4 linked regions of the Pelodiscus sinensis genome follow. The protein of the gene in region 1 purifies or fractionates together with the protein of each later gene. This does not show direct contact. Links are inferred from orthologs where the notes say so. Each region holds a gene or a part of one and is shown in the gene's direction. Other genes may lie near its edges. The genes, in order: ABI1, EPS8, CYFIP2 and putative protein BRICK1.

Region 1 (7,193 bases):
GCCTGCACGGAGCTGTCTCTTATCACGCCGTACTGTACATTTACTTGCACAAGAGTGGGTGGGCAGTGTAGATGCTCAGCGGATTCTTGCGCAAGAATGGCCGTACTTGTGCAATAACTCGCCAGTGTAGACATAGCCTCTCTGCTTTGGGTAGCAGACAGCGGCTTTTGCAGAGCAGGCTCTGCTGCTTCCCGCTTTGTTCCCAGCTTGGTGGCTCTTGGTAGTAGCCACACAGGATGTGTGTTTGGTGTGGGTGGGTGGGTGGCTGGCAACCCTAAACCCAATGTTCCCGCTAAATTTTTCTATCCATGCGCGGAATACATTTTTCTGTGTGTACCAGGCATATGCAAACATGTACCAACCGTAGGAACAAAGCTGAGTGCTCTGCTAATAAGCTGGGTGGCACTTGAATCCTGAGTGGCCACACAAGCGCGCAAGGCACACAGGCCAAAACCACTCATATATCAGAATAAGTTGACATGGGGGGGAAGTCATACCCGTGTAACTAATAGCTGGGATGTGAAAGGTTAACCGGTGATGCTTACTGTTTACAGTTAACTGTTAATTGGTGGGGGCTGGAGCATCTCCCCTCCTGCTGTGGGCAGGGGTCTGCTCCAGCCCCACAGGGAGCCTGTTTGGATAGGGGATGATCTGAGCTGCCTCTGACTGTGGTAGGCCCAAACTCCCAGCAGGCAGGGACTGCTCTGGCTAGGCTGGAGCAGCCTCTGCCCATGCCCTCTTTAATGGGTTAACTGGTAATCAGGTAACCAACTGAACGGGAGTTTACATCCCTAGTAACTACACACCAGTGGTAAAGCTTGCCACTGCAGGCAAGGCCTAAGAAAGAAGACAGAAGGTCACAGATCTGGACAAATTACTGTGAGTAAAGTCTCATTTTGGTGCCACAAGTGAGTGCTGTTTGCACTATAGCACCACTTACTTCCTCTCCCCCCTCTCCCGCCAATAAAAAATGAGCCAAGCCCAAGGATGAGCCCATAGGTATCTGCAACTCCCACTGAGAGGGAGCCAAAATGAAGAAGCCAGATGGAACTCAGAGAACTTAATGACATCAACATGTTTTAAACAGCTACAGGATCGACTATGAGCAGAATCTCATGCAAACAACTCACAAGGATAGCATTTTGTGGACAGAGCAGGGCTGATTAGTGGAATGGTCACAAAGGGAGCACCAGCTGAAGGGGAATGTAGGCTTCCCACCCCCATGAAATCTCCCCACATAGCCCCACCTCCATATGACTTATTTCCACCCCCGATCCAGCTCTCCTCATCTCCTTGGCATGTTACCTAGTGGGGCAGCGCCCCTTCTCGCTGTGCCTCCTCCCAGGCAGCCTCTGGCTATGCTGCCTAGTGCAGCATAGCAGGTACCTGGGAGAATGCAGCCACTGCACTGGGCAGCATCCTATGCAGGAATCATGGTATATTAAGGAGGGGCATGAGACCATATATGTTCCTCCCAAGCGTAACTCCAGGGGCAGAGCTTGAAGATACCATTTTCTATTCTCTTTCAGTATGACCTTTGAGGCATGTCTAGACTCCCCTCGGCTTCCGAAAGATATGCAAATTAGGTATGAATTTGCATATCTTCTTCCGATCCCTTTTTCGGAAGAGGATTTAAAAAAAAAAAAGTAGTCTAGATGGGGTTTTTCATGCAAAACCCTCCCTTTTTCAAAAGAACCCTTATTCCTCAAAAAATTAGGTTTACAGGTTTTTTTTGAAAAAGGGGTTTTTGCGTGAAAAACCCCATCTAGACTGCTTTTTTTTTTTTTCAAAAATCCTCTTCCGAAAAAGGGATTGGAAGAAGATATGCAAATTCACACCTAATTTGCATATCTTCTTTCTGAAGCTGAGGGTAGTCTAGATTTGCCCATGGAGTCAGGGCAGGTGCTCTATGCATGCACTCTGCTGTTGGCTTGCTTTGTGAGACTGAGTGAGTTACTTGCCCTTGTTTTCCCTGTCTGCAAATGGGGCTGAAGTAATGTTGTGGCAAGTGGGGTCTTCCGTGAAGAAACTGCAAAATTCAATGGTTGCACATTTGTAGTACGTGTTCATTTTAAGTTCCTTTCACTGCCACCACAGCACTCACTATGCAACAATCTGTTTACAATATCTGCAGTGCTTTTGACCCACACCTCTGGACTTGAGTGGAATAAAAATCTCCCTTCCCAGAGCCCTCTATGGCTATCTATACAGCAGCGTTATTCCCAAATAACATAGTGTGCATCTATGCTACAAGCCTTTATTTCAAAATAATGTTGAGCTGGAGGACTTATTACTCTGACTCATGGTAACCATCATTTCATGAAGAGTGAGGGAAGTTGAAGAAAAAGTGTTCTTCCTTCGACTTCCTGCAGTGTAGACTATGCCAAAAGGCAAATTAAGCTATTTCGACTTCAGCTACACAATTGACATAGCTGAAGTTACATAGTTTAATTCGAGTTTAGCTCTGCTATGTAGAAGTGACTTAGCACAACTAGCCTCTTTCCACCACTTCCTTCCTGTGCATCTCTATCAGACTTGGGCTGATGGGCTAATTGACTCCTTATCTCACCCAGTCAGCCTATCTAATTATCTCCCTCTGCTTTCTCTCGGGAACTAAGTGGCATCTAAGTGACAAGACAGCTGGCTTGCTCTTTAGCCTCTAGCACACTGTCACGCAGATGATAACCAAGTGGTCCTATAAACATATTCTTCCACATTATTCTCCTTGGCATACAAGCAAATTTTGAATCTTGTAAAGACATGCTGTATTGTTGGTAGTGTTGGGTTATGTGAGGTTTTGCTGTGTAGAAGCCAATTGGGGAAAGAAGGAACTGTATGAGGCTCTTTGCCTTGAGCTCTGACTAAAGTAAATACCTGAGGCCCAGATTGCTCCCTTGGAATCAACTGGATATTGGACCTGTTGCTGGGCTTGGATTCCTAGAATCCATGATTATCTGCATGCTATTGGACATGCATGCTATGGCCAGTTTGATTAAAATGCAGGCTGAAGTTCTGACATCAGACATCTCCACACACAGAAACCTATCAGCCACCATTTTAATCAAACTGGACATTCCCTTAAAGACCTGACAACATGCGTCTTACTACAAAGAGACTTTAACACCTGATTACAGAGGGAGACTTCAGAACTTTTATTTATGCTAAAATTTGACAGGTTGTGAATGGGCCTTAATATGGATGATAATTACCTGACACATTACAAACACAGCCTCCCCACCTTTTGATATTCATAGTAAGTCCAGATTAGCCACTTAATTAACTCTTAATAAGCAATTTCCTCCTTCCGTGTCCCCTGGCCCCCACCTTCTGTTCTATGTAGCCCATTCATTAGTTTGTAATTTGTTTACATTTTTCATTGTATCCCTCTGTTACATAATGGTCATACCAATTCTCTTTCAGAGTATGATCTGAAGAAGTGGGTCTGCTCCACGAAAGCTCATCACCTAATGAACTATCTTGTTAGCCTTTAAAGTGCTATATGACTGCTTTCTCTAATCAAAATATATCTAAATCTCACATCACTGCTTTCTCTTATATTTGGAAACTCCACGTACAGGTCCAGGATATCTGCTATCTTGTGGCACAAGGGCACCACTAGGTCAGACCAGGACACTGATTCCAGAAAAAAGAGCAATAATAGTGTTATGCTGAAAAGTGTTAATGGCTGCCGTTCAGAAGTCTTTAATATGTGGACAATCTCAATGTTTGTTACAGCCGCTGAGAAAGGTCTGCCTGGATAATCCAGGGAGGCAGGGTAGATGGGAAGAAGGTGTTTAAATACTGAGTGTCACGCCTTTTGTCTCTCCCCGTTGCAATGCAGAGCGGGTCTCCCCGAGGAACTGGCTCTATGCTGTTTAATTTCCCTCAGTTGCAGCTGGCCCAGCCCTATCCTGCTTTGAACCAAGCCGGTGAAACGAGTGGGACTAACAGCTCAGCTTTCCCTCTAGTGAGAAACTGCTCGTGTGGGAGCGAGCACCGAGCTCAGCCACGGCGCAGCCTAAGGGAAGAGAACCACCCCAAGCCACACCTTGCAGCTTCCCCGGCGCATGCCCACTCCCAGAACCAAATACCGCGGGGAGGGGGGCGGGGTTGGAGAGGAGCAGACTACAACTCCCAGCATGCAGTGCGACGGGCATTTTCGGGGTGGGTGGGGAAAGCAGGGCGGCCTCACGAAAGCGAGGCGAGGAGGAATCCCACAATACCAGGCGGGTTGTGGGCTCGCCGCCGCTGTCTCTTTAATGCAAGAGGAAGCGATGCGGAGGGGAGGAAAATGGCAGAGCTGCAGATGCTGCTAGAGGAGGAGATCCCCTCGGGCAAGAGGGCGCTGCTCGAGAGCTACCAGAACCTCACGCGGGTGGCCGACTACTGCGAGAACAACTACATCCAGGTGAGGGCGGCCCGGCGGGGCGCGGAGGGCGGCACTGGCGGGTGCAGGAAGTGGGCACCGAATGTTGCAACAGCCGGAGGAGCCGCCGCCGATACATTGTATCGCCCGGCAGCCGCCGCCGCAGCGCCCCGGTTCCTCCGCCCCCTCCCTTCTTCGCTCTGCCTTGCAACTTTCTAGCCCCAGTGCCTCTTACTCCCCCCACCCCACGCCGCCTGTGCTTGTGAGCAGGGAGGGGTGATTCTGTCGGCTCAGCCCAGAGGGTGTGTCTCTTTTATTATTTATTTTATTGTGACTCACGGCGCCCAGATGGGGGAGAGGGTGGATTTGTATATGCCTCTGATTGAGCGCTTGAAAGTCTGCCTCTGTCAGACCAAATTCCTCCTCCTCTTTCGTTTCTCCCCCTCTCCCCCCCCCCCCCGCCGCCGTTTGGCTTTGGAGTGGCTACAGTGTTATTTTCAATAATCAAACTAACCATTTAAAAAAAAAAAAACCCTGAAGTTCTGGGTTCTTAAGTCAGTTGCACAGACGTAATAGGCATCAGCCCTTTTCATCTTTCCGGGGTGGGTGTTCTCTCCCTGTTAGTTGTATAAAGAGGTGAATTTCAGAAAGGATGTAAGTGTGAGGTTTGCAAATGCTGGCTGTGGCGAGTGTTGAAATACAAATGACTGACAAATGCAGAAATATGTTTGTATGTTGGGGAAGAAAGAAGGGACACCCCCGCCCTGTCGCCCTGCCCCCCCAGTGGATTTTTTTTAATAGTTGGCATCTAATTCTCACTTAAAACTACATACATGAATTGCATTCCTGGCATTCTGTACTGGTGATTTTGAATTGTTACAATGAGCAGTACTCATGTATATAGGCGGTAATGTGCAAACATGATGTGCTATTTCAGCATGGCAGTTTCTCCTTCTGAGATAGTAAAGCTGCTTGCTTCATAATTCAGACATCCTATAGCAATATTTTTAAATCAGGTGTCTCTTGCCTCAAGGTGCACCCCAATGCACTTGTTCTTGTATCTTGCTGCTTCAGTTTCCTTAGCCCTTTTTAAAACTCATGTGTGTACATTTTTATTTTGGCTTTGAAAAGTATGTTCATAGTAATCTTTGTATACATCTGAAAATAATTGATATAATTGCATGTATACATGTGAACTGAAATGGACACAGTGCCCTTCCAGATGCCCAAAGTAGTCCACAGAAAAACTTTCTTAAGGAAAGAGAAATTAAAAATTGTGCTTTTTTACTATGGCTTTTCCTTACAATGTAAGTAAACCTGTTGACTGTAATCTATCACTGCCTAGGGCTAGGTGTAACTTAAAGTTAATATAGCTTTTAATGTTTTAATATTTAGCATTTGCCTGAAACTAGCAACTATTTTATTTGTGCAAGTGGGATAGTAATTTAGTGGTTTTATCAAACTTTAACTATCCCTCAACATCCCTTTGTGAAATTACTTTTTTCTGACATGTCAGGCAATGCTGTTTGATATTTGAATTAAAATTCAAATAGCAAATCAGAACTTGTTTTAGAAGGCTATAAATCCTTCTCACAGTGTCAGGCGATAAGGGTTAAACTGTTCTTATTCAGTTACGTGCTCCACCCTAAAAAAGCTGGTTATATAAATGCTTCAGAGAGGCGAGGTTGCATTTGGGTTTACTCATGGGAAATATGACAAACACAGTAGTGTGGTAACTGCAGCACATGTTTTGACCTGTCAACTCTTTTTTCTATTTCAGGAGAGTTGTAGAGCTCTTTCTGGCATTACATGTTGCTTTCAAATCTTTTTAAGAGACATGTCCTCATTGATCATTTGAAACGCATCAAACCAAGAACCACCTTAAGAATCAAGGCTAGCTGTACACAAATCAGTATATTTTACAGTTTTGTCCTCCTACAGCTGTGTATTCCTGTTGCAAGGAAACAGAATTAACTAATGGGAATAAATAAGTAGTAGTTTAGTGGATTTTATACCTAGTATGTAGTCTGTCCAGCTTTAGCCTAATTGAGTAAAAGTGCTAAATGAGAAATTGACATTTAGTGCAAAACAATTTTCCTAGTGGTTGTGTAAAGCCATCTGTTCTATAGTTAGAATAGTATAAAGTAGGGATGTAAAATCCCGTTTAATTGGTTAACCAGCTAAACATATTTAACCAGTTAAATGGTTTAAAACAGGGGTGTCCAAACTTTTTTCAAAGAGGGCCAGATTTGAAGATGTGAACATGCGTGAGGGCCGTTCCCGCACTCTCAGCCCCAAGGCGGAGGGCCCGCGGGGTCGGAGGCGGGTGGAGAGCACAGGGCACGCCGGCCTCACGGCGTCCCGGGGGCAGGGCGAACCCGCAGCCGAGCGGGGGAGCAGGGCTGCGGACCTGCCCTACAGGGCAGGCTCTAGGACCGCGGAGGCCATGGGCGGCGGCGGCGCGGCCGGAAGCGGCACGCTGGGCGCGCCAGTTCAAAAGAGCGCCGGGGAGCCGGGAGAGGGGGAGGAAGCGGGGGCCGTATTAAACCGGAACACGGGCCACAATTGGCCCGCGGGCCGGACTTTGGACATGCCTGGTTTAAAGGGATGGGCAGATGGAGGGGCTGCTCCAGCCCAATTGCATGGAGTCTCCCACCTTCACCACCACAGGCAGGTGGTTGTTCCAGCCCTATGGGTCCTATTGCAGGAAGGGCTGGGACCCATAGGGCTGGAGCAGCCCTCTGCCTGTGGCAGATGGGGAGCTGCTCCTGCCTCCATGGGTTAATTGAAATGCACCATCCATTAAGGGTGATGCTTACTGGTTAAC
Region 2 (7,038 bases), on another chromosome or scaffold:
AAATGCAGTATGTATGTAGATAGAATGGGACTTAAAGAAATCATTGCTATGGTATTTGTATTCCTTATTTATTGGAACTGTTTCATAGGCTGACTTTATCCAGATTTAAATACATTTGTTTATTTGAAGTTCATCACTTCGAACTACATCTCATGATGAACGCGATCACTTTTAAAAGGGATGGCGATTGGCAGTAGTGGTTCGCAGTCATGTTTTAATTGAACCCACATGCCAGTGACCCTCTAGAACTGAAAGTTTGACTGTTAAGACTCTGGTTGTACTACATGTGTGCTCTGGCACTGTTAAAATATTACTCCTCTTTGCAGGTCAAAGGAAATTCTGATGAACTTGAGCAGGCATTAGGGATGCTGCCATTTTCTCCTCCTTGGCACAAAATGGAATTTTTGCTTTTACAGTATGAGGGGACAGCTGTACTAAATCACTCCCCCTCCCCCATATGTTGTATTCTTATTATATGGGTATGCCCTGGTATCTGGGCTGCAATAGCAACTCAAAGTAACTTTTTTAGAGACTACATCTCATGCTCTCTACTTGTCTTTCATCCTGGCCCTTAAGCGATCCCATATAAAGTTTGTCTGCCTGTGGTATCCTACATTAGATTAATATTCTTCAGAGACTAAGCTAAAGCAATAAAATTGGTTTACTTAAAACTGGATTGTAGAAGAAATGTGGCTTCTTTTCTGCTCCAAGCCACATGAGCCATGTCTTGTTTTCATTCAAAACTGTTAGGGGAATGAAATGTTTCTGCGGAGGCTACTTCACAATTTTATTTGAAGCAACCTTTGATTAAAACAAATGGCCAAATGAACATAGTGCACAGCGATGGCAGTAAGCGCCTTGCACAAATACTTTCATATAAAAGGGTTAGAATAATCAATAATTGACTTGTTAGGTGGCATAATAGATTCTAGAAAGAAAATTGTATCTAAACCTGTTGAAAGACAATTGCGGACGAGTCCAACGGGCAAAGTGATACCACTCCCAAGGCCTTGGTAGGAGGTGTAGGGGTGTGTGTGTGTGCGTGTGCTCGCATGCACGCGCCTCTCCCCCCATACCCTTTGGATAAGAGAGCTTATGTACAACAATCAGGTTTTTTTGAGGGGGAGGCAGCAAATATTTATTTTCATAATTTCACTTTTTTAAAAAGCTGGTTTTGAACAAGCAATTGTTAAATAATCCCTTCTGTACAAAATTCTTTATATATCAGTAATGGGATAGAAAGCCTTTTTATTTTTAGGTTGCTAGTTCAATTTCCAACTAGGAGCCCAATTCTGTATACAGAGCTCTATGCAGGTGTAAGTCTCTGCCAGAGCTCCCAGATCCTAGCCCAACAGGGATAGGAAAATATGCTTTGGTTTATATGGCCTGTGACAGTGTTGAAAGCTAACCGATATCCCAGCACTCTGGTCACTTAAGCTGATTATTTGCCCCCCAGAGAAGACTTGATTTAGGAATGAAGGACTTAATTACCTTAATCAGAATGTGAACTAAGATGGTTAGAAAGCACTGGAAGAAAGTGCAGAATGGGAAATGCTAGCAGAACTGAAGGAGCAAGCTGAGCACTCTCCATGGAGAGTGGGCTGACATCTGAAGAACGTTGTAGACAGAACTGTTGCTTGGACTGTGACGATAGTGGTAATATTAATAAACTACATAGAGGTGATAAACAAGTACAAAACTGTCTGGGATCACAGGACATGAGTGGAGCCTACGCTTTGCATGGTCTTGTCCACGCTAAGTAAATCAGTACCTCATTTTAAAGCAATGCTCTAATCTCTAATCTACGCTGGGTTCTCAAGCTGCTTTTTTTGGTTGGTCACTTTGTAATGAAAACCTGAGCTGGTTTCCAAGACCAGCGGTAAAATCACCATATTACAATCTCAGGGGCAGCTGCACCATTGCTGAAAAATGGATACTAATATTCCTAGTGGAGCTGCATCCCATAGTTGTCAATTTGGCAGCTGTCATCAACACTAAATCCATTGGAGCCAAAAAAAAAGGGAAAAATTAGTTGACTCTTTGCATTTCTGGATTGTATGCCAGGTAAATTAGTACAATCAAACCAATATTTTAAATCAAAGTGCCTAATTTGTACATTTCAGGGATTTTTAAAAATTATATAAGAGCAGCATCTCCGAGCATATATATATTGGCATGTATTTTGCTGTGTACCTGACAAAAAACTCCATGTTAATATGCTTCCATTTAGAGGAGAAAAATCATGCAGAGTGTATACAATGTTATACATAAAAGAAATTTTTGCAGTTGGACTGGATTTTTTCTACAGCTGACTCTGCTTTGCTGCTTTGATCCAATATTTCAACAGGGTTCAAATACAGTTATTAAGTGTCACACATTTTAACGTCCACTTAAAAGATCTGTATTATATATATAGAATTGGTAAATTAGTTGCAGATGCAGCGTAATTTTCCTTGACTACACAGTCTAATTTATTAAGAGATAAGTGTTTGTGTTTTGTTTCGAGATGGACTTTGAACTCTTCTTCCTTATTGGGTAGAATTTTCGGAACATGTCCTAAATGAACTCTCCAATTTTTAAGAAGAAGCTTCACATACAACCTCCGTGTTTTAATGGAGGTGTCACTGGTCTATGTGCATAAACCTTCTAGCACGGGGGGGCATGTTATAAGGAGCTTCATGGCACAGTGAAAGGCACAAAAATTCCCACTTCCTTCTACAAGTTGGGAGTTGGTTATATGATAGAATTTCCATATTTGGAGGCTGAGAGAGTGTACAACTGTGGCCTACTTATAAATTCTTCTGTGTTTTTCAAAAATCAGTGTGAAGAGAGATGCTATGCAAAAGTCACTCAGCGGGGGCACTGTCAAACATCCATTTAAAGAGCGTATCTGTCTCTAATAAACAGTATTATGAATGAGACTCTCGGTTTCTTGTCTGATCCATGTTATTTTTGGACATTTAGAATATGTCGTCACTGCATAGCTATTTCGGGATACCGAAGGTATCCCGAAATAGCTACCCCACATCTTCACAAGCCGCCCGTTCGAAATAACGAGCACTCTATTTTGGCATTCTGGCAACCATGCTTCCACGAAGGTTAAGGGATGTCTCCAAATAGGCTATTTCAAAATTTGGTATGTCTACACAGTGCCAAATTTTGAAATAACATGCTATTTCAAAATTCAATCAAAATAAGATTCGCAATCTCCATAGCTCAGATTGCGTATCTTATTTCAAGTTCAGGGTGCTTTGTAGACCCACCTTTAGTGATTTTTAGCTGTGTAGAGATTATATGAATTTATCTCTTTTGGCAATCCTTTTTTAGCACAAGTGAGGTTGCAGGATAGTGGTAAAAACTGGCTTCCTTATCAAGCAAGGCCAATGCTCCATCAGAGCTACGTGCCAGGGCAGTTTCAATATGGTCTCTTAGGAAGAGTAAATGGCTTAATTTTGGACAGTTGAATCAAAATAGCAACATGTCCATAAAAAGGAGTGAACAAAATCAACAATAAAGCATGAGCATGCGCATGAACTCCAGTGCTTGTCTTTGTAAACCATTCAGCTGAGAGGAGCTAACTAGAAAGCAAATGTTTTTAATGAAAAATTTTGAACAAATTTGTCCCCTCCTCTGGCAAATATTTTTAAAGTGAAATTTTTCATCCAGATATACCTTTGAACTTCCCAGGGCATCTTGTCTGCTTTGTCTCCTTTGATTTGATTGTGTGCGTGTGCTCTGTAGGATGCGGATTTATACAGTGCCAAGTACTCTGTCATGCTTAAGAAATAATGTTGAATGCAAAGTCTGGAAGATCCTCTTATAGACTTATTTAATGAGTTCCTGTAATATATTGCATATTCAGAAAATGCTGTGCTAATTATCAATAGTTAAAACTGTTAAAATGTGCTGAAAACACATTACAAACTTTTATTAAGGTTAAAAACATTGTAATACAGCCTTTAAATTTAAATATAGCTTATTTGAAAATGTGAATTGTCTTGAAATTGAAAAAAAAATTCCTTTAGGCAGCGTCGTGTAACCTGTGAAGAGGAGGGCAGGGAAAAAGCCAGGATTCCTGGATTCCATTTCTGTTGCTGTTACTAATTCATTGTGTGTACCTGCACTCTAAGACAATTTCTCAGTTCATCAAAATTAGCAGGTTGGTGAGATGAAATTATAAACCATAGTGTTTGTAAAACTCACTTTGATCCTACAATAAATGATTGACTTATGTAATACAAAGTATTAGTAATTATATATTAAATCAAAAAAGTAAAAACATCCTATGTTTCTGGTGCCTAGTATTTTCATAAGTTCATGATGTAAGTTCACTATAAGGTTGAACTGAGTTTTTTTTCCTTGCAAGTTTTAAAAGAGAAATAAACTTAAATCCACATAAATGAGGGAAAATTCCAACATTACCTATCCCCCATCATGACCTTAACAGAAGGGATACATGTTTGTTGAACTGCAATGAGTCTGCAGTTCAAAAAACTAGTCCTTTTACAAAACCGTTTGGTTGTTTAATGTGTGAAATTCTAAATTTTTCTATTGTACTTTAAATATATCCTAATAAATGTACTTTAAAGGCATGCTCCTAGAAGTGCAAAAACTATGAAACAATAAGATGTGATCTGTTTTAATTAAAAAGTCATGTAATTTCTGGTAATCTCAGCAGTTCTTGGGGGGGGGTGAGTTTAAATGTGAATTATAATGGTCTTTTGAATGAAAGTGTAATAGGCAGCAAATGACTTTGTAGTTTGTCAACAAATAGTACTGTTTCTTAGTTCACATTCTGATGGTGATAGAGTATTATAGGATGAACCTCTCTAGTCCAGTACCCTGGGGACCTGACTGGTGCCAAACCAGAGAATTTGCTGAACCGTAGGAGGTCAATATTGTCTAGCAGCATCACCTACACTTCCAGTGCTTGCTGGGTTTTTAGAAGTCGTGTAGGGGTGAATTAGAGCTAAATAAGAGCACAGATAAGTGGATCAGTGTAACTAAAATCATGCCGGACCATAGATATTGCTGGATTAGAGAGGTTCAACCTGTGTATTAACTCAGTTTGTATTATCACTTTTTATAACAGAAGCTGAAACTTTTTGCCAGCATTTGAAAACAAGAAAATTCCTTCCTGTGCTGTATTTATCTTGAAATTCTTCAGAGCAGGTTGGTCTATGTTATACATAAATATGTAGTCTGTATTCATAACATTCAGGATTCTTTAAAAGCATTAAGAGCTTCTTATGCCATTTACTTGCCCTCTCCCTCAGTTTTTCCAGAAATAATTAAGATAGTAAAATGATGGACTCATTATGCTGTTCCCCAACCATAATGCTCACATACTGATCTGTAACATTTAGGAAAATATCAGCTAACTCCGTCTTCCAAAAAGTGACCTTACCCATAGCCAGGGAATATGAGAGCAAGAGGTGCTTAAACATGTGTCATTCCATCTTTTCTTGACTAGAAACTTGAAAGTGTTTGGCCGTGTCTTTAGTGAATGTCAATTGGAACAACTGACAGTCAATTGACGTGAAATTTCCTGCAACATTCTTTGCAGAACTGGTGACACCTTGCTGGGTGAAATGTCACTGTTCTCAAATATCTGTGTATGTATGTATAAAAGGCACTGAGTGTGCAGAATTACAGAAACAGTCTCGTTAAGTGCAGCCCAACCTGCCGTGCTTGCCAGGATGGAAAATCTCCCCAACCAGCAGCCAGCGCAGGGAGTAATGGGAGGAGAAGGGGAGCAAAGTGGCTCAGTGATCTGGTACCTCCTTGAAGTTGGCACCCAAGGCAACTGTCCTGCCTACAACAAGCCCTTGTTATTAGAGATGTTAAAGGTTAAACAGTTACCCGATAAACATATGCCTTACCAGCATGTTTACTGGGTAACTGGGGGGGCTCACTATCCAGAGCAGCATCCTGACCAGCAAGGCCCCAGTAGCTCTGGATGCCAGGGCTGATGCAGTCCACAAAACCGGAGAAGCCCCCATCCTATAGTGCAATCGGGCTGGAGCAGCCCCCTGCCTGTGGCCAGTGGTTAACTGGTTAAACAAACAATTTACTGGTTAACTCTTTTGGACAATTTTTACATCCCCGTGGGTTGTATTGTATCATACCATGTAATAGTCAGTGCAGATGTATACATTCAGCCAGCTAAAGGTAATGTGTACATTTGTATTGTCAGTCATTTTATTTCTTTCCCTGTAAAATTGAATTGGGCAATGCAAATATGTGAAAGTGAAGAGGACCACTAATTAAGTAAAAGGTTAAAATGGCCAGCTGGAAATGGAGTCGTTGCATGTGGTAATTTGTTGGTGAATCCCCACTGTTGGGGGAAGAGGGAGAGGAGAAGCCATTACAGATTGTCGCTCAGTTGGCATCATTATGTCTGCTAAATTTTATTAACTGTTGTAGCTGGTGAATTTGCCATGGACTTTGCATTGAATAAAGATAGGCCCAGATCCCTTGGCCCCATGTTCAGCAGTTTGCTCTGCCAGGCAATGTAAAGTAGCTGGATACCTGGCTTATGAGGCACCTAGGGATGTCCTTGAAATAAAGACTCTTCAGTTTGCATATAGCAGGCAAGGCAAGATGGGGTATGGCCACAATGTGTTATATTTTACTACTCCCCAGACACTATTGGTGCTGATGTAACTTAGAGCAGCTGAATGGTAGATATACGCTTAGGTCAGAGACCAAACCTGCACCCTGGATTCTGTGCCAAATGTAGCTCCAGTATAAGTCTGGGATCTTGTCCATAATATTAGAAAGCTGTTGTTTGATCTAGAGTTTTTGGAGTTTGTAGACTCGGGATTTGTCAACAAACGGTGATCTATCTGGTTTAATAGTAGCTAGTGCTCAGTCACCATCTGATTCTGTGCTTGCGAACACATTGAACAAGAGCAAGAGTCTTATGATCACCATATAAAATGGGCACCAGGCACTATAGTGCTACTTCTGCATATCGATTTATATGGTTAGCACCAGGTAGATAGTTCTGACATCTTTTTAGGGAAAAGGGAACTC
Region 3 (6,982 bases), on another chromosome or scaffold:
TTCCCAGCCTGCTCCTGCATCCAACTTCGCAGCCTGACCCCCATCCCCAGCCCGCTCCCACCCCAACCTCGCACCCCCACCCGCTCCTGCACTCTTTTTGTCATCTGGGTGGTTGGCTGGCGGTCCGTGGAAAGGCTGTCATTGGGTGGGGTGGGCTGCAGGCCAAAACGTTTAGAACCCCCGCTCTAGCAGACAGTCACGCTAGTCAGACCACAACTCCAGGCGGAGCAACGTTGCGCATTTGTGTATGAGACGAAAGGGGATCTCTTTGCGTTCTGCCCCCTCTGTCGACCCTCCCACGATGCTCGCCTAGAAATGAGCAGCCCTTGGCAGATGCCAAGCAGCTCTGGGAACTACCGAGCTCACACGTGGGCGCCCGAACATCATGGATGCCTGACTTCACGTCACAGGCTTTGAAAGACATGGATCACGCCAGCACTGGCTTTTCGGCAGCCAGCTTCCCAACGGTGGGGCTAATTTTTAGGCAAAGAACCAGCCTGAGATCAGCCCCTTACCCAACACAGTTTTGCTTGAACGGCCACTTCATTGAGCGCTATCCTTTTAAAACTTTGTGCCCAGAGTGTCCTAGATTTTAAGACTGGAGGAGCCCCGGTGATCATCTAGTGCAGCGGTGGCCAACCTGCGGCTCCCGAGCTGCATGCGGCTCTTTGCTTAAAGAAAAGTGGCTCTTGCACGCCCAGACTGCTCCCGGCCGGCCCCTCTGCACACGTGCCCCAGTGCCTGGAGGGAGAAGCGCATGGTGGCAGCAGCTCCAGGACCCAGGCATTGGGTTAGAGCAGGGGGAAGAGGGGGACTGTGGGTGCCGGGCTCTGGGGGAGGTGAGGGGGATGGGGTTAGAGTGGGGGGAGAGGCGTGCCTGGCTCTGGGGGAGGACGAGGACATTGGGTTATTGCAGGGAGGCTGGGGGATGCCTGGCTCTGAGGGAGAGGGGGGATTGGGTTAGAGCAGGGGGGCTGAAACACCTTAAACTGAAAGTCCTCATGGATGCAGAATAAGGCAGCCAACACAGATGTCATATTTAAATCCCAGGGCAAAAAAAGAATCAGCATGTACCTAGTTTACACTGGGTTTCTTTAAAGAAAATTCAGAGGCGATTGTTTGCCAGGCTGAAGCCATTATTCTGAGATGTGGGTCTCTCCCATATTGTTTTGAACCTCTCAGATTTGCAGTCTGGGACAGATTGAATTTTTAGGACTAGAAAAAAGCCATCATCTTCATAAGTAAAAAAACGAGTAAACCATACCAGAGATCAACAAGCTAGAGGGAAACAGGCACTTCAAATTGTCTATACCCCCCCATCCCCATACATCCCCCCCATCAATACAACTAAATATATAATACATGGCTCTTCACACTCTATCCACAGCTATTTTGGCTCTTTGTCTCTATCTGGTTGGCCACCCCTGACCCAGTGCAACCTCCTGTATGAATCAGGCCACAGAACTTCCCTGGCTTATTACTGTTCCAAGTCCACTAGCTGTGACCGTACGGGCATAGAAAAACATCCACATTTCACTTAAAGATTTCCAGAGCAGGACACTCCCCAACACCCCTTGGAAACTTGCTCCAGAGGATAAATCCCCCCTCTGTTACCGCCTTCCACCTTATTTTGTGTACTCATTTGTCTAGCTTCAAATTCTACCCATTGGGCCTTGTTGCCAGTATCCCATTCCCTCCATAAACGTATCCTACTTAGTACTGGAAGCCAGCTCGAATGTTTGCCCCCACAACTCCCCTTGGAAGGCTGTGCTAGAACTTCCTCCTCGTATGGACAGAAACCTTCATCAGATTGCAAAAAAATAAAACCTGATTCTGGGCGGCTTTCACAGGAGTGTTGTGAGCAAGACACGAGAAGTCCTTCTTCCGCTCTGCTCTGCGCTGACTAGGCCTCAGTTGGAGGACTGTGTCCAGTTCTGGGCACCGCTTTTCAGGAAAGCTGTGGAGAAATTGGGGAGGGTCCAGAGAAGAGCAACAAATACGATGAAAGTTCTAGAGGACAGGAGCAAAGAGAGAAGACTGAAAGAATTGGGCTTGTTTAGTTTATAAAAGAGAAAACTGAGAGGGGACATGGTAGCAGTTTCAAGTACCTAAAAGAGTGCAACAAGGAGAAGGGAGAAAAATTGTTCTCCTTGGCCTCGGAGGATCGGACAAGAAGCAATGGGCTTAAATTGCAGCAAGGGAGGTTTAGGTAGGACATGAGGAAAAGCTCCCTGTCAGGGTGGTTAAACACTGGAATAAATTGCCCAGGGAGGTTGTGGAATCTCCATCTCTGGAGATATTTGAGAGCAGGTTAGACAGACACCTGTCAGGGCTGATCTAGATGGCGCCTGGTCCTGCCACGAGGGCAGGGAACTGGACTCGATGACCTCTCGAGGTCCCTTCCAGTTCTGTGATTCTATTTCAAGCCCAGACTTGTTGGAGGCCTGTATCTATCCATTTGTTCTTGTGGCCACACTGGCGCATAACTGAAATCCCTCCTCTCCCTCCCTGGTATGTTTCCCTTGGGTGTATTTAGAGAGAGCGCTCAGATCTTCCCTCCACCTTCTTCAGATCAGGCCAAACAAGCCCAGTTGTTTGTGTCTCCACAGAGGGAAGATTTTCTATTCCTCAGATCAGCCTCGCAGGGTGTGGGTGCAGGGGGAGGGCGGTGGGTGGGTGGCAGTAGGATGTGAGCTGACGGAGGGGTGTGGGTGGGTGCAGGGTGTGAGCTGACGGAGGGGTGTGGGTGCAGGGGGAGAGCGCTGGGTGGGTGCAGGGTGTGAACTGACGGAGGGGTGTGGGTGCAGGGGGAGGGCGCTGGATGGGTGCAGGGTGTGAACTGACGGAGGGGTGTGGGTGCAGGGGGAGGAGGGTGGGTGGGTGCAGGGTGTGAGCTGACGGAGGGGTGTGGGTGCAGGGGGAGAGCGCTGGGTGGGTGCAGGGTGTGAGCTGACGGAGGGGTGTGGGTGCAGGGGGAGGGCGGTGGGTGGGTGCAGGGTGTGAGCTGACGGAGGGGTGTGGGTGCAGGGGGAGGGCGGTGGGTGGGTGCAGGGTGTGAGCTGACGGAGGGGTGTGGGTGCAGGAGGAGGGCGCTGGGTGGGTGCAGGGTGTGAGCTGATGGAGGGGTGTGGGTGCAGGGTGTGAGCTGATGGAGGGGTGTGGGTGCAGGAGGAGGGCGCTGGGTGGGTGCAGGGTGTGAGCTGACGGAGGGGTGTGGGTGCAGAGGGAGGGCGGTGGGTGGGTGCAGGGTGTGAGCTGACGGAGGGGTGTGGGTGAAGGAGGAGGGCGGTGGGTGGGTTCAGGGTGTGAGCTGACAGAGGGGTGTGGGTGCAGGGTGTGAGCTGACGGAGGGGTGTGGGTGAAGGAGGAGGGCGGTGGGTGGGTGCAGGGTGTGAGCTGACAGAGGGGTGTGGGTGCAGGGTGTGAGCTGACGGAGGGTGTGGGTGCAGGGGGAGGGCGCTGGGTGGGTGCCGGGTGTGAGCTGACGGAGGGGTGTGGGTGCAGGGGGAGGGCGGTGGGTGGGTGCCGGGTGTGAGCTGACGGAGGGGTGTGGGTGCAGGGGGAGGGCGGTGGGTGGGTGCAGGGTGTGAGCTGACGGAGGGTGTGGGTGCAGGGGGAGGGCGCTGGGTGGGTGCCGGGTGTGAGCTGACGGAGGGTGTGGGTGCAGGGGGAGGGCGGTGGGTGGGTGCCGGGTGTGAGCTGACGGAGGGTGTGGGTGCAGGGGGAGGGCGCTGGGTGGGTGCCGGGTGTGAGCTGACGGAGGGTGTGGGTGCAGGGGGAGGGCGCTGGGTGGGTGCCGGGTGTGAGCTGACGGAGGGGTGTGGGTGCAGGGGGAGGGCGCTGGGTGGGTGCCGGGTGTGAGCTGACGGAGGGTGTGGGTGCAGGGGGAGGGCGGTGGGTGGGTGCCGGGTGTGCGTGGCAGGAGGGGCGCGCAGGGCGGGACCAGTCGCTCCATCCCCGCAGCGCGGCGCGGCGCGGGCGCACGGAGCATCCCGCAGGCGGGCGGGGCGCGCAGCGGGCGCGCAGCGCAGGAAGTGCACTTGCTGCTCCATTTCCTGCTCTTTGTGTGTCTGACACCGATCGCGGCGCAGGCGGCTGCGGCTCGGAGCATCCTCTCGCGGCCGGTAAGCGGCGGGGCCCGGCCGGGCTGGGGGCGCCGCGGGCAGGGGGCGCCGGGCGGCCCGGGGAGCACCGGGCTGGGCACGGCCGGTGCCGCTTCGCTGCGCCCTGCCCGGGCTGGAACCGCGCAACAGGGGGATCCCGGCCGCTGGGGGGGCGCTTGGCCCCGGGCCATGACAGCTCGCCCAGGCAGGCAGCCCCCGGCCCCGCATGGAGCCCTGCCCGGCTTTGCCTGGGGTGCCTCGCAGCCCCCCCTCCCCGGGCTTGCACGGGCCCTGGGGTGCGGGGTCCCCATGCAAAGCACCGCGGGCAGGTGCAGCTGCGCCCTGCGAGCCACAGAGCGCTGCGGGGCCCAGCTTAGCGCAGGGGCTGTTGCAGGATGAGCGATCCCAGCATGCTGCGGGCTTATCCAGAGCCTCCTTGTTTATTCTAGTGCACCCGCCAGGCAGCCTAAAGGGCCCAATTCCCCCCCCCCCCCTTCCCCTCTGCAGCAAATGGGATGAGCTTAGAGTGAGGGGCTGGCAGGAGGCTGCAGTCTGGGGGAGCCAGCAGCCTCCCACCGCAGCCGCTTCCCCTCATTGCCAGGAGTTGGCCAGAAGGGCAGCGTTTAATTCGAGCCCATATCGGAGCCGTGCTGCGTGGACACGAGGACATGGGTGTGGAAGAACAATGGGGCGGCCCAAAGGGAAATGGACGGCGGGGTACACAGCCAGCGTGGCCACAGAGCCCGGGCAGAAAATAAAAGGCGCAAGTGGCTCGCAGAGGTGAAGGCGCACACAGTGAACAGAACAGAATCAAAAGTGCCCCCCTGGTTCTGCTGGCAGGGGAGGAGGCAGACGCGGTTGCAGTTTGCGTTGAGGGTGGAAATTAGGGACTTGAACTTTGGCTGGCTTGAGTGAGGAACCAAAAATACAGGCTTGGAAGTCTGCAAAGCCACATATCCCACAGCGGTTGCAGACCAGTTTTTCTCTCCTGTCATTTAAACTCACGGCCACTTTTCAGCGGTGAGACGTTTTCAAAACAAGAGGGGGGCCCACCCATCACGCTGGAGGTGAACTTTCGAACCCAGGACGTTTGAGTGGGCTTGAAAGAAGGAGAGGCACGTTCACTCCCAGTCTGGTGCCAGACAGGCCCTGAGTAAAAAGAAGGGAATGGATTTGGCAGGAAACGTCCATGTCCCGAGGAATCAGGATTGACCAGTGAGAGACAAGTGGAAACCTTTGTGCTTGCTCCTGTGTATTTGCTGGGGTTTGGTTTTTTGGTGGGGGAGGAGAGGGGACTGGCATTTACAGACACACGTTTGTAGTTTGGCAAGGAACAGGATATTGCATAGCTCGGCCCTCCTAGCCAGCCGTTGCTTTCAGCATGGTGGTTTGTTTCTAGCTGTGTTTCTTGGATCACAGGGGTCTCCCGTAATTGTGTCAGGTCGTTAAACCGTTGGACACTTCCTGCTCAGCCCAGGAAACTAAAAAAAAACATGTCCAAGTTTTACATTAGGAGGGCTGCCAGATGCCAGTCACCTTGGTAGATTCCTGGAGCCAAATTCTGCTGTCCACTTTCAGTGTAAATCCAGCGTCATTCCTCAGACAGGAATTTAGCCCTAATATATACGGCTGATTTTTGTTAGCAACGTTTATGTAATCAGCTGATGCCTTGAAATCTGATTAGGTTCAACAAGGACAAGTGCAGAGTCCTGCCCTTGGAATGGAAGAATCCCAGGCACTGTTACAGGCTGGGGATGGACTGGCTAAGTACCAGTTCAGTAGAAAAGGACCCGGGGATTCCAGTGGATGAGAAGCTGGTTATGAGTCAACAGGGCGCCCTTGTAGCCAAGAAGGCGAATGGCATATTAGGTTGCATTAGGAGGAGCATGGCCAGCACATCTAGAGAAGTGATTATTCCCCTTTATTCAGCTCTGGTGAGCCCACAACTGGAGTATTGTGTCCAGTTCTGGGCCCCCCACTATAGAAAGGATGTGGATGCATTGGAGAGGGTCCGGCAGAGGGCAACCAAAATGATTAGGGGGATGGAGCACATGACCTACGAGTAGAGACTGTGGGATTTGGGCTTGTTTAGTCTGCAGAAGCGAAGAGTGAGGGGGGATTTGATAGCAGTCTTCAACTTTCTCAAGGGAGATTCCAAAGAGGATGGAGAGAGGCTGTTCTCAGTAGTGACAGATGGCAGAACAAGGAGCAATGGTCTCAAGTTGCAGTGGGAGAGGTCAAGGTTGGATATTAGGAAAAACAATTTCCCTAGGTGGGTGGGGAATCACTGGGATGGGTTCCCTAGGGAAGTAGTGGAGTCTCCATCCCTAGAGGTTTTTAAGTCTCAGCTTGACAAAGCCCTGGCTGGATTGATTTGGTTGGGATTGGTCCTGCTTTGGGCAGGGGACTGGACTTGATGACCTCCTGAGGTCTCTTCCAACTCTCTGGTTCTATGATTCCAAAGCGAGGGTCCATGGAACAAACATGACCACTGAGGAGTCAAAGGCGGAACAATGTAATAATTCGTAGTAATAATAATAATATGCATGTATCAACTTGTCTGTCTTCAAGAAAAAGAGGAAATTGCTCTTCAAGGGATTAGCAATCAGTGATATTTCTTTGTCTATGTGCAACATTTCATTTCACACGAGGCTATTTAATACCAGCTATTTTTTGCCATCTCCCAGCAATTGTGATTATTCTTCGACAAAGGCCATTTCTAGGCATACAGCCCTGCAGCTGTACAGATGTCTGGTGGAGACGCTCTATGCCGATGTGAAAGAGAGCTCTCCTGTCGCCATAATAAAGCCACCTCTGCGAGTGGCGGAAGCTACTTGGGTGGGAGCTGCTCTCCCGCTGACACATCACTGTCAGTGTTC
Region 4 (6,456 bases), on another chromosome or scaffold:
ATACCGACAGTTATTTCCACATGGAAAGGGTAATACCCTGTACTGGTATTGGATACCTTTATATTAATACAACTGCACCCACTCTAGCATTACCACCAGTATAACTATTAACAACACCCCCTACTTGAAATAATTACACGGTTACAAAAATTGTGTGTAATCCAAGCCCTACATTAAAAATTGTACAAATGCAAAAAGGGGGTTTGGAAACAGCACAATGGCATGGAAATGTGAATGGAAAACAGAGTGACTAGGAAGAGAACTTCCAATTGGTTCTGAGATTTTTTTTCACCCTTTTGGTAAAGATTTTCATACCTCTACTCTATTAATACTAATGTAAATGAGCTGAAGATTAAAAAAATCTTTTGCAAAAGTGTATAGTAATGAGGGACTTGGAAGAGGAGAGAGAAGGTATGGCAGGCTGACATAAGGGCAGGTCGATTTAAGCCACGTTAGTGGCGTAACTCAAATCATTGTAGCTTAAATCAATTTACTGCATGGTCTCAACCATGCAGAATCAACAGAAGCCATTGACTCGTCTTATTCATCTCATTCTGGTGCAGAAGCCTCAACAGAAGAGTGTTTAACAGTAAATTTAGCGGGTCTTCACTCGACCACTAAATCAACCTCTGGTGGAACAATTGCTGTGGACAAGTCAAGACAAATTATTCCTAAACACCTCCCCTTTCTTATAAGGGGCTGCAGACAAATTGGCTTCACCTGGCATGAGGGGACTTGAAAGGCTTCTCTTAGGAAAGAAAGCGGCAATGGACTTTTATTTTAGTATAGCAACTTTACCTAAAGTGTGTGTTGGGAGAGAGAAACATTCTTAAAAGCTTGTGCCTTCGCAGCTATTTTCAGAAAGCTGGCTGGTTTGGAAAGGCATGTATGTGTTGCAAGCATACACTGAGATCAGTGTAGACACACTGCACTGGAGCTAACTACAGATGTCTGAAGCATATGTAAAGTTTTAAAAGTGACCCACGCTAATCTGTACATATACGATAATGAGGTTTCATGGGTACAACCCCCTTCATCTGAAGAAGTGGGCTGTACCCACGAAAGTTCATAATATCTTCATTTTTATAGTTTCTCAAGTGCTGTAGGACTATTCATTGTTTAAGGTCTTTTTAGTTACACACTAACATGCTAACCATCTGAAACTTTACAAATATATTAGCAACCTCAAATAATCTGATAATTAACTAGAGGTAAAGAAAAAACAAAACTTCGGACAAGCCCCAAAGTAACAGAAAATCATGTTTCAGGCCAAGTGGATAGGGAAATACAGGAGCATCCAGGCTGTTCTGAAGCTTTCCAGAGAACAAAATGCTTAAGTTTACCATAGAAAGTAAAGGAAAGCTTCAAAGATTTCAAGAGGGACTTACTGTGGTCAGCGCAGTAGGCAAAGTCAATGGAGAATTTGAGAGCACAGCGTGCAAAGGTATTTTTGTCCCTTCCGGCAAGAAAGCCAAAAAGCATGCAATGTCACTTTTGAACACGAGTGACTGAAGGAAGGCCAAGATCATGACATTTTGAGACAATCAAACCACTTTTCATACAAAGTGCTGCTGTAGCTGTGCTGGTCCCAGGATATTCGAGAGACATGTGGGTGAGGTAATATCTTCTATGGGGCTAATTTCCATTGGTGACTCGGTCCTATAAAAGATATTACTGCACCCCCTTGTGTGTCTCAAGCCACTCTATACTCAGGATTTGGCACTGATAGCGTGTAAGGAATATCTCTAGCTGCTTTAAGTCTGCCTGTCAGTGTGTGCAGACTTCTAGCTTGTGCAGTGATAAAGACAGTCCACAGGTTTGATAGATGCTGAACTTTGACTCCTCACAAAGATGCTTTTGCATCTGTAGAAGTGAGACATGGACTTCATGCAGAAGGCAGCTATTTCAAGGAATGTCTGGCTTGCTACAATTGGTTTAGCTCTTGTTGCAGCCTCCGTAGAGAGAAAGGCATTGCTGTAGTCAAAATGAGCAAGTCAGGACTTAGGCAGATCCTAAAAATTATAAATTTAAAAAACAACAAATAGTCTGGTAGCACTTTATAGACTAACGAAACATGTAGATGGTATCATGAGCCTGAAGAAGTGAGTTGTGCCCAGGAAAGCTCATAATACCATCTTCGTGTTTTGTTAGTCTGTACAGGATAAACTTAAAAAACAACAAATAAAACTATAAAGTGCTACCAGACCATTTGTTGTTTTTTAAGTTTATCCTGTACAGACTCTCTCGGCTACCCCCTGAAGGTCCTAAACATTATATCTAGGAAAAATTGGTAGGACTGGGAGGCATATAAATGTGTTAAGAAAACAAATAGGAGAGGGGCACTGAAGATACAAAGGTTGAGAAAGACAGGGGCAGCTAGAGCAATTGATGAGGGGGAAAGATTTTTGTCAATCTTGGATATTAAGTTATTACCCATCCTAAGCACTATAAACTTCCAAGTCTGTTTTTCTGAGAGTCAAAAAGTAAGATGACACAAATTCATCTTTTAAAAACCTATATTTTTACCTAAACATGAGATATGTTTTACCTGCTCTGTATTAGAAAACCATAAGTCTTTCATCCCATACCTAGATTTCTGTGACTAATCTAGTTCTTCCTGAAGCCTTTATAACTTCCAGTATGAAGAATTGAGGCTTAACGGGTCTAAAGTGACCCCCACTGCTCCTGACCTATCTACATACCCCCACAAAAAGTATCAGGGAAGAAAAATTCTAGAAGAAAAACAATAGCTGGGAACACAGTTAAAAAAAGACATTTTAAACACACCAAATATTGATTAATTTCATCCTTTATAATCACTGTTTACTTTGAGCAATAATTTAAATATCTTCCATGACAACTCACTGCTTAGGCACTGTACTAAAGTCTTGAGTTTCTCTCGAGTTTCTCACTTATTTTCATCTCATTCTGAAAGAAATGTTGATAATCAAAGAATATTGAGCAGCAACCGATTTTCAGCTATATTTAATGTCAGGATATTATGCTACTTGCAGCTGAAGTGCTTCCCCGCAGCTTTAACATTCAATTTTTATTTAAAACAGTACTCTGATATCCCCAACTCATATCTCTGGTCATCTGAAGAAGTGGGCCATGCCCACGAAAGCTCATGATCTCAACTACATGTTTCTTTAGTCTACAAAGTGCTACCAGACCATTGTTTTTTTTTTTTTTCTGTAACAGACTAACTCGGCTACCCCCATAAGCTCAAAAAAGCCTTTGTGAGCTTAGCTAGAGTTACTACAAAAGCCTAGGACTTATGTCACGAAATAAAATTATCTGTGTGGCAAATGCTGATGTTCCAAAGCATAGTAAGTGTAGGAGAGGTAATGAACACAGTTTCCACACAAGAAACAGCAACTTCCCACACCAACTGACATAGCAGATCTCACAGTGAACTCATAGTGCAGCACTAACCGTGCATTCACATGTGTAAGAGTGCGCACACATGTGTCACTCACAGGGCAGCTCCAGCTCACAGTGTGTGAGAGAGAGAGAGTGTGTGCGCGCGTGTCACTCACGGGGCAGCTCCAGCTCACCGTGTGTGTGTGTGTGTCTGTGTGTGTGTGTGTGTCACTCACGGGGCAGCTCCAGCTCACCGTGTGTGTGTGTCTGTGTGTGTGTGTGTGTGTGTGTCACTCACGGGGCAGCTCCAGCTCACCGTGTGTGTGTGTGTGTCTGTGTGTGTGTGTGTGTCACTCACGGGGCAGCTCCAGCTCACCGTGTGTGTGTGTGTGTCTGTGTGTGTGTGTGTGTGTGTGTGTGTGTGTGTGTGTGTGTCACTCCCGGGGCAGCTCCAGCTCAGTGTGCCCGTCTCTCTCTCGCAGGGCGTCGAGCCCAGCCCCTGCCGGCAGCCCCAGCCCCGTCGCGCCCAGGCCTGGCTCCCGCGCAGACTCAGCCCCCAGCCCCCGCGGCCTGGGCCGGCCCAGGAACCCGAGCTGGGGCTGCGGCCTTGGCGGGCTCTGCCCTCGCCCGGCCCGCAGGGACACGGTCTGAGGGGGGCCCGCCGCCCCGCCCCGCCCCGCTCCGCTCCCCCGGGCCCTGCCGCGCAGCGCGGTACCTGCAGGCCCGGCTCGCTGACGCCACTTCCTACTCCAGGGCCCCCGAGCTGCAGCAGCAGCAGCAAACGGCAACAGGCGCGGCAAGGCGTGCGCGCTCACGAAACAGCGCGTAGGCGCGCGCGGCCGCCAAGGGAGCCAATCATCGCCGTTGACGCAAAGGCTGCTGGGAAACAGAGCTATAAAAGCCCGGGAGCTATTTACGTTTTATGCCTCCCGAGTTTGCTGGAGTTCTTGCGCCTGCGCACTTGGGGCGAGGCGGGACAGGACTCAGTACTGGGCGGGGGGGTGTCTCATAGCAACGGGAGAGCGGGGGCGCTGCGCGCGCGCGTTGCTGTTGCCTTGTGCTTCGGGTCGGCGAGGGGCGGGGCCGTTCTCCCGCGCAGGCGCAGTGCGGGGCGGCCGCCATGTCGCTGCAGGAGGACCCGGTGCAGCGCGAGATCCACCAGGACTGGGCCAACCGCGAGTACATCGAGGTGATCACCAGCTCCATCAAGAAGATCGCGGACTTCCTCAACTCCTTCGGTGCGTGCCCCGCCCCGCCCCTCCGCCTGCTCCGGCCCCGCCCCCGCGCCCTCCCCGGCCCTCCTGGCCCCGCCCCCGCGGCCCAGCCCCTCCGGCCGCGCCCCCCGCGGCCCCTCCTGGCCCCGCGCCCGGCCCGGCCCCTCCCGCGGCCCTTCCGGCCCCGCCCCCACGGCCCCGGCCCTCCCACACCGGCCCTCCTCGCGGCCCTGCCCCGCCCCCAGCACTTCTGGCCCCGCCCCCACGGCCCCGCCCCTCCCACCCCGGCCCTCCTGGCCCGGCTCCTCCCACCCTGGCCCTCCTCGCGGCCCTGCCCCGCCCCCCTTGGCCCCGCCCCCGCTCTAACGGCCCCTTCTCCCGCAGACATGTCCTGCCGCTCCCGCCTCGCCACCCTCAACGAGAAGCTGACGGCGCTGGAGCGACGCATCGAGTACATCGAGGCCCGGGTGAGGGCGGGGCCGGGACCCTGCTGCGCCCGGCGCCCTCGCTGTGCCTGGGCCGTGTCCCCAGCCGCGCCGGCTCCTGCCTCCGCCCGGGGCTCCCTGCAGGGCTGGGGGGGGACCGGGAGCCCGGGAAGGGGGACGCCGGCCCGGGAGGAGCCTGGCCTGCGGGCTCCTCGTTCCCTTCCCCGGCCCCTCGCTGAGCAGGCTGTGCTCTCCTTTGCAGGTGACGAAGGGCGAAACGCTGACCTAGCTGCAGACGCCGGTGGGGAGCCGACCCGGAGAAGACCGGGCTGCTGCGCCGCAGCCGACTGTCGGGATCTGATTTCTTACTTCCTGCCATTGGCGGGACTTTGGCTTGTTTCTGCCCCGGTTGTCCTGCCTTGGGCGCGTGGCTCCAGGGCGACTCCAGAGAGAGTTGATAACATGCCAACGAGCACGTTGAATGCAGTAATTTTAGCCAGAGTCGTGCACCAGTTAACTCCTCAGCCCCTTCACCTCTCTCTCATTCCCCGCTATGCATGTAGAACTCCTCCTGCACTTTGTAACTGCAGCATCTCGCTGGCCACAGGTCTCTTTCCGGGAAGAAAACCTCTCTTGGAGCTGACCGGCTGAAGGCCTGATGTTTGGGAGCCACCCCGCCGATGGTTTCGGTTCCTTTAGCAAGCGCTGCAACTTGTGTCTCTTAAGCAAAAACATCAAGCGCCTCCCTCCTTCCAGCCCGGGAGCAGAGCAGTAGATGTGCAGTGTCTGGATGGGGCAGGGAGATAGGTAATGTGCCAAGATCAGCTCTCTGGGCAGGGTGGGTTTCAGAGTTTTCTATGTCTTTTGTATTGTGTAGTGTCACATGGGGGGGTGTCTCCCGGTTGTGTTACCACAATAAACTGTCTCTGCTGACGGGGTCTGGGCTGATCTCTAGCTGGAGTGCACATCTGGATTTCCAGGGGGCGGGAGCAGGAGCGTGGCCATGGAGGGCAGATGGGCTAGAAGAGTCTGGTGCTATTACTATAAGAGGTGCAGCTGCTTTTTGCTATTCTTGTCTTCCTTCCTTGTACCTCCCCCAAAATGATCAGGGATCCTAGTTGTCTGTGGCTAACCCCCCACCCCCAAAAATAAATCTGGCCAAAGGGTTCTCTTTGTCTGCAAGGTCTGCTTCTGTTCCTCTCTACGTTCACAGATCTGGGGGCAGAGTTCCTCTGAGTTGTCTGCTATTCAGGGCTCTCTGCTTGGAGTCCATTTACAATTCCCTGGTTTTTGGCCTTTTGACACCTCATGCCTGTCCTTGCTTTTTGCCTTTGTTCTCCCCTGAGCTTGGTTGAGTCCTGTCTCCCTAGGCAGGGGCAGGGCTTTTAGGTGTGGAGTGGGCACAGAACTCAGGCCATTTTCCTGTAGCCATTAGGGATTTGATAGTTAATGGA

Evidence for each region.
Region 2: the proteins of ABI1 (region 1) and EPS8 purify together in Homo sapiens (affinity purification with western blotting; 4 studies listed by BioGRID, with this or other methods). This does not show direct contact. The link is inferred for Pelodiscus sinensis from reciprocal best matches to the Homo sapiens genes ABI1 and EPS8.
Region 3: the proteins of ABI1 (region 1) and CYFIP2 purify together in Homo sapiens (co-immunoprecipitation; 4 studies listed by BioGRID and IntAct, with this or other methods). This does not show direct contact. The link is inferred for Pelodiscus sinensis from reciprocal best matches to the Homo sapiens genes ABI1 and CYFIP2.
Region 4: the proteins of ABI1 (region 1) and putative protein BRICK1 purify together in Homo sapiens (co-immunoprecipitation; 3 studies listed by BioGRID and IntAct, with this or other methods). This does not show direct contact. The link is inferred for Pelodiscus sinensis from reciprocal best matches to the Homo sapiens genes ABI1 and BRK1.

The regions. Positions count from the first base shown.
Region 1 is NC_134712.1:226,076,400-226,083,592, reverse strand, and holds the start of ABI1 (abl interactor 1), read left to right. Parts: upstream 1-4,172; 5' UTR 4,173-4,291; coding exon 4,292-4,408; intron 4,409-7,193. UniProt on the Homo sapiens protein: May act in negative regulation of cell growth and transformation by interacting with nonreceptor tyrosine kinases ABL1 and/or ABL2. May play a role in regulation of EGF-induced Erk pathway activation. Involved in cytoskeletal reorganization and EGFR signaling.
Region 2 is NC_134711.1:112,321,684-112,328,721, reverse strand, and holds the start of EPS8 (epidermal growth factor receptor kinase substrate 8), read left to right. Parts: upstream 1-4,025; 5' UTR 4,026-4,159; intron 4,160-5,092; 5' UTR 5,093-5,172; intron 5,173-7,038. UniProt on the Homo sapiens protein: Signaling adapter that controls various cellular protrusions by regulating actin cytoskeleton dynamics and architecture. Depending on its association with other signal transducers, can regulate different processes.
Region 3 is NC_134727.1:39,281,888-39,288,869, forward strand, and holds the start of CYFIP2 (cytoplasmic FMR1-interacting protein 2), read left to right. Parts: upstream 1-3,964; 5' UTR 3,965-4,124; intron 4,125-6,982. UniProt on the Homo sapiens protein: Involved in T-cell adhesion and p53/TP53-dependent induction of apoptosis. Does not bind RNA. As component of the WAVE1 complex, required for BDNF-NTRK2 endocytic trafficking and signaling from early endosomes.
Region 4 is NC_134721.1:46,503,334-46,509,789, reverse strand, and holds putative protein BRICK1, read left to right. Parts: upstream 1-4,353; 5' UTR 4,354-4,483; coding exon 4,484-4,601; intron 4,602-4,961; coding exon 4,962-5,044; intron 5,045-5,264; coding exon 5,265-5,291; 3' UTR 5,292-5,935; downstream 5,936-6,456. UniProt on the Homo sapiens protein: Involved in regulation of actin and microtubule organization. Part of a WAVE complex that activates the Arp2/3 complex. As component of the WAVE1 complex, required for BDNF-NTRK2 endocytic trafficking and signaling from early endosomes.